2 linked regions of the Caenorhabditis elegans genome follow. The protein of the gene in region 2 interacts with the protein of the main gene of each other region in a biochemical or structural test. Each region holds a gene or a part of one and is shown on either strand. Other genes may lie near its edges. The genes, in order: ttr-52 and ced-1.

What was found.
Region 1: the proteins of ced-1 (region 2) and ttr-52 form a complex in vitro, tested with the Caenorhabditis elegans proteins (one study listed by BioGRID).

The regions. Positions count from the first base shown.
Region 1 is NC_003281.10:13,402,962-13,406,561, reverse strand, and holds ttr-52 (Transthyretin-like protein 52), read right to left. Parts: upstream 1,845-3,600; 5' UTR 1,802-1,844; coding exon 1,648-1,801; intron 1,579-1,647; coding exon 1,406-1,578; intron 998-1,405; coding exon 917-997; 3' UTR 779-916; downstream 1-778. Other genes in the region: Zinc metalloproteinase nas-1, read right to left, coding at 1-12; mig-18 (Abnormal cell migration protein 18), read right to left, coding at 2,256-2,398, 2,443-2,520, 2,704-3,019, 3,110-3,259; srlf-10 (SXP/RAL-2 family protein Ani s 5-like cation-binding domain-containing protein), read right to left, coding at 3,526-3,600.
Region 2 is NC_003279.8:11,864,925-11,870,207, reverse strand, and holds the start of ced-1 (Cell death abnormality protein 1), read left to right. Parts: upstream 1-2,102; 5' UTR 2,103-2,108; coding exon 2,109-2,257; intron 2,258-3,038; coding exon 3,039-3,140; intron 3,141-4,114; coding exon 4,115-4,311; intron 4,312-5,283. UniProt on the Caenorhabditis elegans protein: Involved in programmed cell death, also called apoptosis, in both somatic and germ cells. Acts by recruiting ced-6 to phagosomes which enables actin-dependent cytoskeletal reorganization and subsequent engulfment of the apoptotic cell corpse.

The sequences.
Region 1 (3,600 bases), on a different chromosome or scaffold from region 2:
GATCGGGAGCATTATGGATCTGCAAGTATTTTTGATAAAGAAAATTTTAACAAATAATTTTTATGTTCCTGAAAATGGGATCTTTTCTGACTTTGCAGAAAAAATATTCAAATAACCTAATAATTTTTGAATTCGCGCCCAAATGAATGATCAAGTTTAGGCAGTCGTGGAAACATTTATGGTTTTTTTAAATTTGATACTTTTCAGTAATTTTTTCAGCCAAAAAGTGGAAAAATCTATAAATCATCAATTTTTAGGTTTTTTTTGGAGTTTCAGCCAATGTCTTCGAGTTACCAATTTTACGGGTTACCAATTTCAGAAGATGTTTCAAATGGCACATCAAAAATCCTCACTGTTTCTAATTGGGAAAATTAAATTGAAAAAATGTCTAAACTACAATAAAATCGATTAAATCATAGAAGCTCATTTGCAGAAATTGAAAAAAAAGTTGAACAAATTGGGACTTTTAGTTTGGAAAATCTCAAATCAAAAAGTTGGAAAAATTCAAAATCCGGTAAATTACAAACCTATAATGCTCCGGGTGTTGCTCCGTTGATGCTGGAATGAGCTTCAACTCGTAAGCTGCCTTTCTCTCCCAAAGGTCGCGCCTCCTTCATGGTAGAAGCTAGTATTTCACGCAGAGGGAGCATCAATGTGCAAAAGCTCATTGGAACCGGTTACCCATTCCGCGTGGTGTGTGCCGCGTACATATATCTTCCGCGCTGTTACTACTGTCAAAACTGTGGAGAGTGGGAGGCGGAAAAAAAAGAAAATGAAGAGAATATTTGACTTTTATTATACCAGATTTGAGAGACATAGATGAAAAGGAGGTCGGAAGTATATCGAGACAGAAATCATGAACAGTTTTATGCAAACATTGACTTTACGGCAATCATTTTATTTGCAGTTGAGTTCTTTAGTAGTCTTCAAGGTATCGATCTAGATAAACATTACCAAGACGGACAATTGATGGTAGGAACAGGGGTATTACGTCAATCTGAAATTTGTGAGCAAAGTTTCAGCAAAAAAGTTTGGCTTTCTGATCTATAAGAAACCTTTCATAAGGCATATAAACATGAGCCTGCCTGCCTTATGCCTATAAAAATATCTATTGGCAAAGTAGATATTAAATTTTATTTTTCAATCCTACTTTTGATCTCCAAATATTCATTCTTTAAAAAACTGAAAAAAAATTTTACAGGATTGTATTTTTCAATTTTTTTAGTCGGTTTCCATGTTTTTTCCATGTTATTTAATTGCACTTACACTGATATTTTTCATAGTTCTTGGTATAAAAAATTTGTTATTTTTTCAGAATTTCCAAAAAATTCAAAATCAAAAAATAAAATTGCCGAAAATTTGCTAGTTTTTAAAAACTTGCATTCTCCAGAACCTTCAGATATACCTGTATAGGATTTGTAGCATTACTATCACGATGTGGGCAATTGTGTTGAATATATAAATATGGATCAGGTGTATTAATTGGACCAAAGTCACTTGCACAACCAGTCACTTGGAAATTCCCGTTACGGTCGCTCCATGTTCGACCCATCAAGTCATCCGATTCTAGAGGTAATGCTGGAAATGTTTTAATTTTTCAAGATTAAACAAATTTGATAGTAAAAATTAATATTACAAAGTACTTACAATCTTCATCCCACAAATCGATATGCACTTTTTTAACAGCTTCAGGATCTGTTGGGCATTTTAAGACTCCAGTTGCCATAAGACAACTAGTTTTTGATAAAACGTTCCCTGAATAAATGAAAAAAGGCAGGAAGTAAATCAAAAATCTCGACATATGTTTTGAAAGTCTTTTGTTGGAGAATATTGGAGTATAAGGAATGCGTGGGGGTTGAAGAGACTCCCCTGGGGGAACATCATGGACTCCTATCTTATCGATCATGTTCATATTTATTTGCTCATTGGTGTCATCGTGTCAGCAAACACTCAAGTGCATTCTTCTCAGTTGTGGAGTAGATATTTATGTGTTACCGTTAATTTAATGTGGATATTTGGATCTAATGGTTTCACATCTCACTTGTATGTACATGACTAGGTCATTTTTCAATTACAAATTTGAGCTCTGAAGATCTATAAATGTCAACTACTATTTATTTTTTTAGCTATAATTATCAAAGGTCAAACTTTTTTTAAAGAAAAAATAATGTCGATCTGCCGACCTGATAAATCGTAAATTACTGACAGATCATTATCATATTATTCCAAAACATTTTTAATTGAAACAATAAAGTTTAATTTATTTTTCCGCACGTCTTCACTTGTCCGTCTTCTTGAATCCAAGCCGTTCCAGCCCAAATAGCCTTTTTCTTGAGTTCAGGCGGAAAGCATCTTTGAATATGAACTCCATCATCTCCACAACGATACTCAATGTCACCTAAATGTATTTTAAACAAATCTTGATAAAAAAACAAATAATACCTTCGCGCCAAACTGCATATTTTTTAATGTGCAATTCTTCATCATTTACATCGTCTTTCTCTGTTCCGTTGAAGCAACCTGAAAATGTAACTTTTGATTTAGCACTTGCTTTGTCGGTTTTTTAGAAAAAAACTTGCTAGAAAAAACTTACAATTTTGTTTGTTCCGTTCTAAAAAAAACTTTTCAATACTCCAACAAAATCCCATAAGAGTTAAGTTGGAATACGATAAGAGTTAGAAAATAAATCGAAAAAAAACTTGCCTTTCGGCTCAATCCTTGCCTGTAATTGATTTGCCTGAATCCTGCAATACTTCAAACTTTTGTTTCCAATCACAAAGAATCCACTCTTGACAATATCTCCATTTGCATCAACACATCCTTTAAATCGTCTTGAAATACAACAAATTGCGAATCTATCCTTGAAAATATCATCGGAAAAATCGGCGAATGTGGGGCAAGTGTTTGTGTTCAGATTATCCGTAACTTCACGTGCACACATGTATTCATATCCATTTTCCACATAGCTTTTGGAGCCGACTTCTAGTAAATGACCACTGTCGGTTACACATTTTAGAGTCTGAAGTTTTATAAATTAAAATACACATCGAAACATTTTGGTTCACTAAAATTCTAATCCAAAAATATAACCAATACTTATTAAATTAACCTGAATATTTCCATCTCGACAAGTGACCAAAAAATGATTATTTCGGATCCACTTGTCTCCATTTGTATAAATGACTCCATTATCATCACATTGTGAGATAACATATGAATAGACAGTACACAAAACCAAGAGACGCAGAGTAAAGGTCATTGGAATGAGAAGTGGTGTGGAGCAAAGTGAAGAACGATGGAATAGTGACCCAGGTTAAAGAAAATGTGTAAAGAGGACATGACTGAAGGGCTCGAGGGGAGAAACGTGACAAGTGATGATATCAAGTATAAATCAGTGTTTAATTACTTGGAAAACTATTATGTTGATTAATATTGAAAAGTTATTTAAAATTGATGAATGTTCGATATATTTATTTACAAAATAATTATTTATACAATATACATGGCAAGAAAGAAAAGTGAGTATTAAACATTAATTGGAGTTGGTGGAAGTTCTGGAAGTGCCCCTCCGTTGAGGAGTTGAGTGATAATGAAGATAAT
Region 2 (5,283 bases):
TACGAATTAATGTATTTCTCGAGCCCCATGTGATTGTTCGAACAGAATTTCACTTTTTTCGTCAAAAACAGCATAGATTTTTGTCCATTTTTCTTCTTGTCTGTGAAAGGATTACTCCTAGATATCTAGAGATTGACGCAATATCGGGAGGGACCATAAAGGTGCGGCCCAGTGTGGCGGGGACACCTCTTTGATATTCGATAGTCCACCCTTTTGACCGATTGGGAGGATTAACAGGTGGATAGAGACACTTGGATAGTCTATAAATTGACACTTGAGACTTTATGTCGATTTTTTACCCCAATAGGTGTAAAGGTTTCCGGCGTCTTATTTCCTAGTTTACTATTTTCTGATAATTCAAAATATCGAATTTATCAGTAAGAGTTCATGTAATAGTTATTTTGGAAATAACTATTGAGTGACATATAACATATAACTGTTATATTGAAAAACGGCAATTTGCCGACTTGCCGGTTTGCCGAAAATTCTGAAAATCATATATCATATAGCAACTTATATAACAAATATAACATAAACGTTGCTCAATAGATATTCTTTTGATTTGATACTTTCTTCCAGAATAACTACATGAAAACTTGCTGATGAATTCATTATTTTGAATTATGTGAATTTCCGGCCAAATATTGCTCATTTTAAATTATTACTAGATTCTGATGGACTTGAGACCCATTGCTAATCCCTGATAAATGGGCATATTGCTAACTGTAAAATCTTATACTCATCAGATAATGCTTATTCACATCAGTTCTTGCTTTAATACTAGTACTAATTAATTATTACCATACTTATTTCATTACTTTTATATAAACGCAATTAATATAATTAATTATTAATATTAATACTGATATCGGTAGCATATAAGATATAACATACAAGAAAAATATAACAAATACGTTGCTCAATAGATGAATAGATATTCTTCTGATCTAACGCATTCCATCCGAAAAAAAAAATCCGCACTATGCGATTTTCCGGCCAAATATTGCTCATCATAAATTATACACAGTATTGGCAAAAATAACCTTTAAACCCATTGCTAATCCCTGATGAATAGGCATATTGCTCACTGTAAAATCCTGAACTCATATGATAATGCTTATTCACAACAGTTCTTATTTTTAACCAGCCGTGGACCGCACCTTCGGCGCGGCCCCCGACTTCTGGGGCTGAAAATTAATTTTTTATGAAACTACCGTAACCCTACAGTATTCCTACCGTACCACTATTGTACCACTACAGTACCCCGACTATATCCCTACACTAACCCTAACTCACTATCCCTCCAGAAGCCAAAACTTCACAGACTACAAAGACTACATAGACTACAAACTATGGACACACATAATAAGCGCTTTATATGTATATAGTAAATGATATTAATACTAATTAATGTTTAATTAATTAATACTATAATTATATAATTAATAATATTAATAATAATAACTTATATAATTGATTATATACTTAAATCATCATATCATTACTTATATATTAAAATAATTAATGATTAATAGCTATACTTATATAATTAATACTATGCTTACTATAATCATCATTTACTATATATAAAGCGCTTATTCCGTTTGTCCATAGTTTGTAGTCTATGTAGTCTTTGTAGTCTGTGAAGTTTTGGCTTCTGGAGAGATAGTGAGTTGGGCTTAGTGTAGGGATATAGTCGGGGTACTGTAGTGGTACAACAGGGTTACGGTAGGAGTACTGTATGATTACGGTATTTCAGAAAAATTAGTTTTCAGTCCCAGAAGTCGGGGGCCGCGCCGGAGGTGCGGTCCACGGCTGGTAACTTATATAATTGATTATATACTTATATCATCATATCATTACTTATATATTAAAATAATTAATGATTAATAGCTATACTTATATAATTAATACTATACTTACTATAATTATATTATCAATTAGTAATAATACTGATACTAAGATTAATTAACAAAATCATAGCTTTGCATATTTTGAGTGAATTTTTCTATTCTCTGTTCTCTGTGTTCTTCAACACCATTCGTATTCCATTTTCCATTTTTCCACACAAAAATCCTCTAAAATTCCCTGTTTTTTTGCAGCCGCAAATGCGTCTCATTCTCCTTGTGCTACTTGCCACGTGGCAAGTCGTGGTGGACACCCGAGCACCCACATTTCCCGACAAATTAACACAGCAGCTGCAGCAGCAGGGGACAACAGAACCACAAGGAGATCACGTGTGTACGGTGAAGACGATGTGAGTCGAGCTGAAACTGGGAAGACAATTGAAATTCAAGAAAAAAAAGATTTTGGAGAGCTCCAAAATTAAAAAAAAAAAACTGAAAAACTAGAACTTAATCCAATAATTTTGATTTTTTTCTGAAATTTTCACGACAAAAAATCCGGAAAATGAGAAAATCTAACATTTTTTACAAAAACCTGGAAAAAAGCATTAAATTACAAAATTATATTTTTTCATTTAAATTTAATAGGAAAATTTTCAAAAAATAATTTAGTGAAAAAAAAAATTTTTCGATAAAATTATTATCGGATAATTTTCAATATTTTTTCCTTTTGCATAGTTTTTGTGTCAAAAAACGAAAATTTCCCGAAAATTCTAGTTTTTTGACATATTCTTTATCCTAATCTCTTTTCACAATATTTGTGCTCATTGAGCCCTGCTCAAAATGGTCCCCGGCAACGCTTAAGCCAACAAGTGCCTGTTTCCTGTACATATACATATACAGAAACATTGAGCAAATAACCAAAAAATATAGAGACCGATTTGAACGAAAAAATATAGATTTGGCAAAAAAATTAGCAAATTTTAAAAAATTTTTTTGAATTAAAAACCCGAAAAATCTATAAATATTTAATCATTATATTAAAAAATGTATTTTAAATATAGAGTATTTGAATTTAAATATATAAACAGTATTTTAAAAAAATCCAGATTTTTAGGAAAAATTGAGCAATTTTAAGTGATTTTTTCATTCAAAAACCCCCGAAAAATCGATAAAAATCCAAAAAATTTGCAGTGTGGACGACTACGAGCTGAAAAAAGTGATTCATACAGTGGTGTATAACGATACGGAGCAATGTTTGAATCCATTGACTGGATTTCAGTGTACTGTTGAGAAGTGAGTTTTTTTTTGGTGAAAAAAGCGGGAAAAATCGATGAAAAACGCTGTATTTTTCAAATTTGTGAAGAAAAATTGCTAGAAAGCTTGAAAATTGTGAAAATTAACAATTTAAAATGGAATTTCTCTGAAAATTGAATTTTTATAATAAAAATGGCACGAAATGAATACAATTTTGAATTAAAAAAAAACGACAATTTTAATTCAATTTTGAAGCGATTTTGGAATAAAAAAAACTAAAAAAAAAAAAACGGTTTTCTTGTAAAAATTGAATTAAAAATGTCCAAAAATCACAGAAAAACTGCAAATTTTGTCACTTTTTTTGAAATTCTGGAGAAAAAAAAATTGAAAATTCGATAGATTTTTTAAAAATTAAAAAAAAAAACTATTTTTTTAAAATTAAAAAAAAAACCATTTTTTAAAAATTACAACATAAAATTTCCGAAGAATCTGTAATTTTTCGGGGGTTTTTTTTTCCAAAAGTTTGTGTGAAAATCCAATGTTTTATAGTCTTTAAATTTTTGTTTCAAATTTTTTAAATAAAAAAAATTAGAAAAATTGAAATTTCAAAGATATTAAAAAAATTCCAATTTTTTAGAAATAAAAATAAAATTTTAATAAATTCTCTGAAAAATTGAGTTTTTTATTCGAATTTTTTGAAATAATTCACAAAAAAGTGGGAAAATATTCTGAAAATTGTTTGAAAAATCTGCCATTTTGCCTTTTTTTTTTAACAAAAAAAAAAATCACTTTTAATTAAAATTTCTAAAAATTATCAAGTTTTGTAAAAATTAAAAAATATTTGATTAAAAAAATTAAAAAATTTTTTTTTTCAATTTTTTCAAAAAAAAAATTTTTTTTATACATTTCGACCGATTTTTCCAGATTAAAAAGCTGAAAATATAAACAAATTCCCAATTTTTCTTTTAAAAAAGCTCAAAAACTCGAAAAACCCTCAAATTTCCCATTTCCAGACGCGGACAAAAAGCCTCCTACCAACGGCAACTTGTAAAAAAGGAGAAATACGTAAAACAGTGTTGTGATGGATATTATCAGACAAAAGATCATTTTTGCCTGCCAGATTGTAATCCTCCGTGTAAAAAAGGAAAATGTATTGAGCCGGGAAAATGTGAATGTGATCCCGGTTATGGTGGCAAATATTGTGCTAGTTGTAAGTTTTTTTTTTTGAAAAATTTGGAAAATTTGACTCTGGAGACTCTTTTTTTGAGCAAAAATTTGTCAAAAAATTGGAAAAATTGAATAAATTTGAAATTTTTCATGAAAATCTCAGAAAAACTACGCTTTTTGCGATAAAATAGTGAGAAATTATTTATTTTCGCTTTTTTATTCGAAAAAAATTAATTTTCCGCTAGAAATCACTGAATTTTTGTACTTTTTTTGTAAAAAAATCGGTGTTGGAAAAGTATTAAAAATCCTTTTTTTTTTCTCAAAAAAAAAAAAAATTAAAAATCTGGCAAAATCTACCATTTTGCCGGTATTTTTCAAAAAGGTTAAACTTTTTGAGAAAAAATTAAAAAAAAAACAAAAAAATTAATTAAAAATCGTATACTTTTCTCAAAAACTTAAAAAAAAACATATTTTAATATTCACAAAATTGGCAAAAAACCGAGTTTTTTCCGAGATTTCGAAAAAAAATTACAAAATTAAAAAACATCTAAAAAAGTTGAGAATTTTTGGAAAAAATTGAAAAAAAAAATCCAAAAAGAAAACGTTAAAAATACTTTTAAAAAAATGCAAAAAAAAAAAAACCTGAAATTTTCGAAATTTTTGATGACAGTTTTTTTTTCTTTAAAAAATTCAACAAATCTCCAAATTTTAGTGAAAAAATCAAGAAAATGGGAAAAAACCAGAATTTCTGAAAAATCACAATATTTCAAAATATATCAATTTTTCTCCGAAAATTCCCAATTTTTTTTGAAAAATTGACAAAAAATTTTTGAAAAAACCTGAAATTTGAATTTTCGGTTAAAAAACGGTGAATTTATGAAAAATTCGCATTTTTCCTTAAAAAATTCAAAAAATTTCCAAGTTTTAGTTAAAAAATCAAGAAAAAATGGAAACAAAAACCAAAATTTCTTTTTAAAAACTCGAAAAAAAACAAAAAAAAATTATTTTTTTTTTT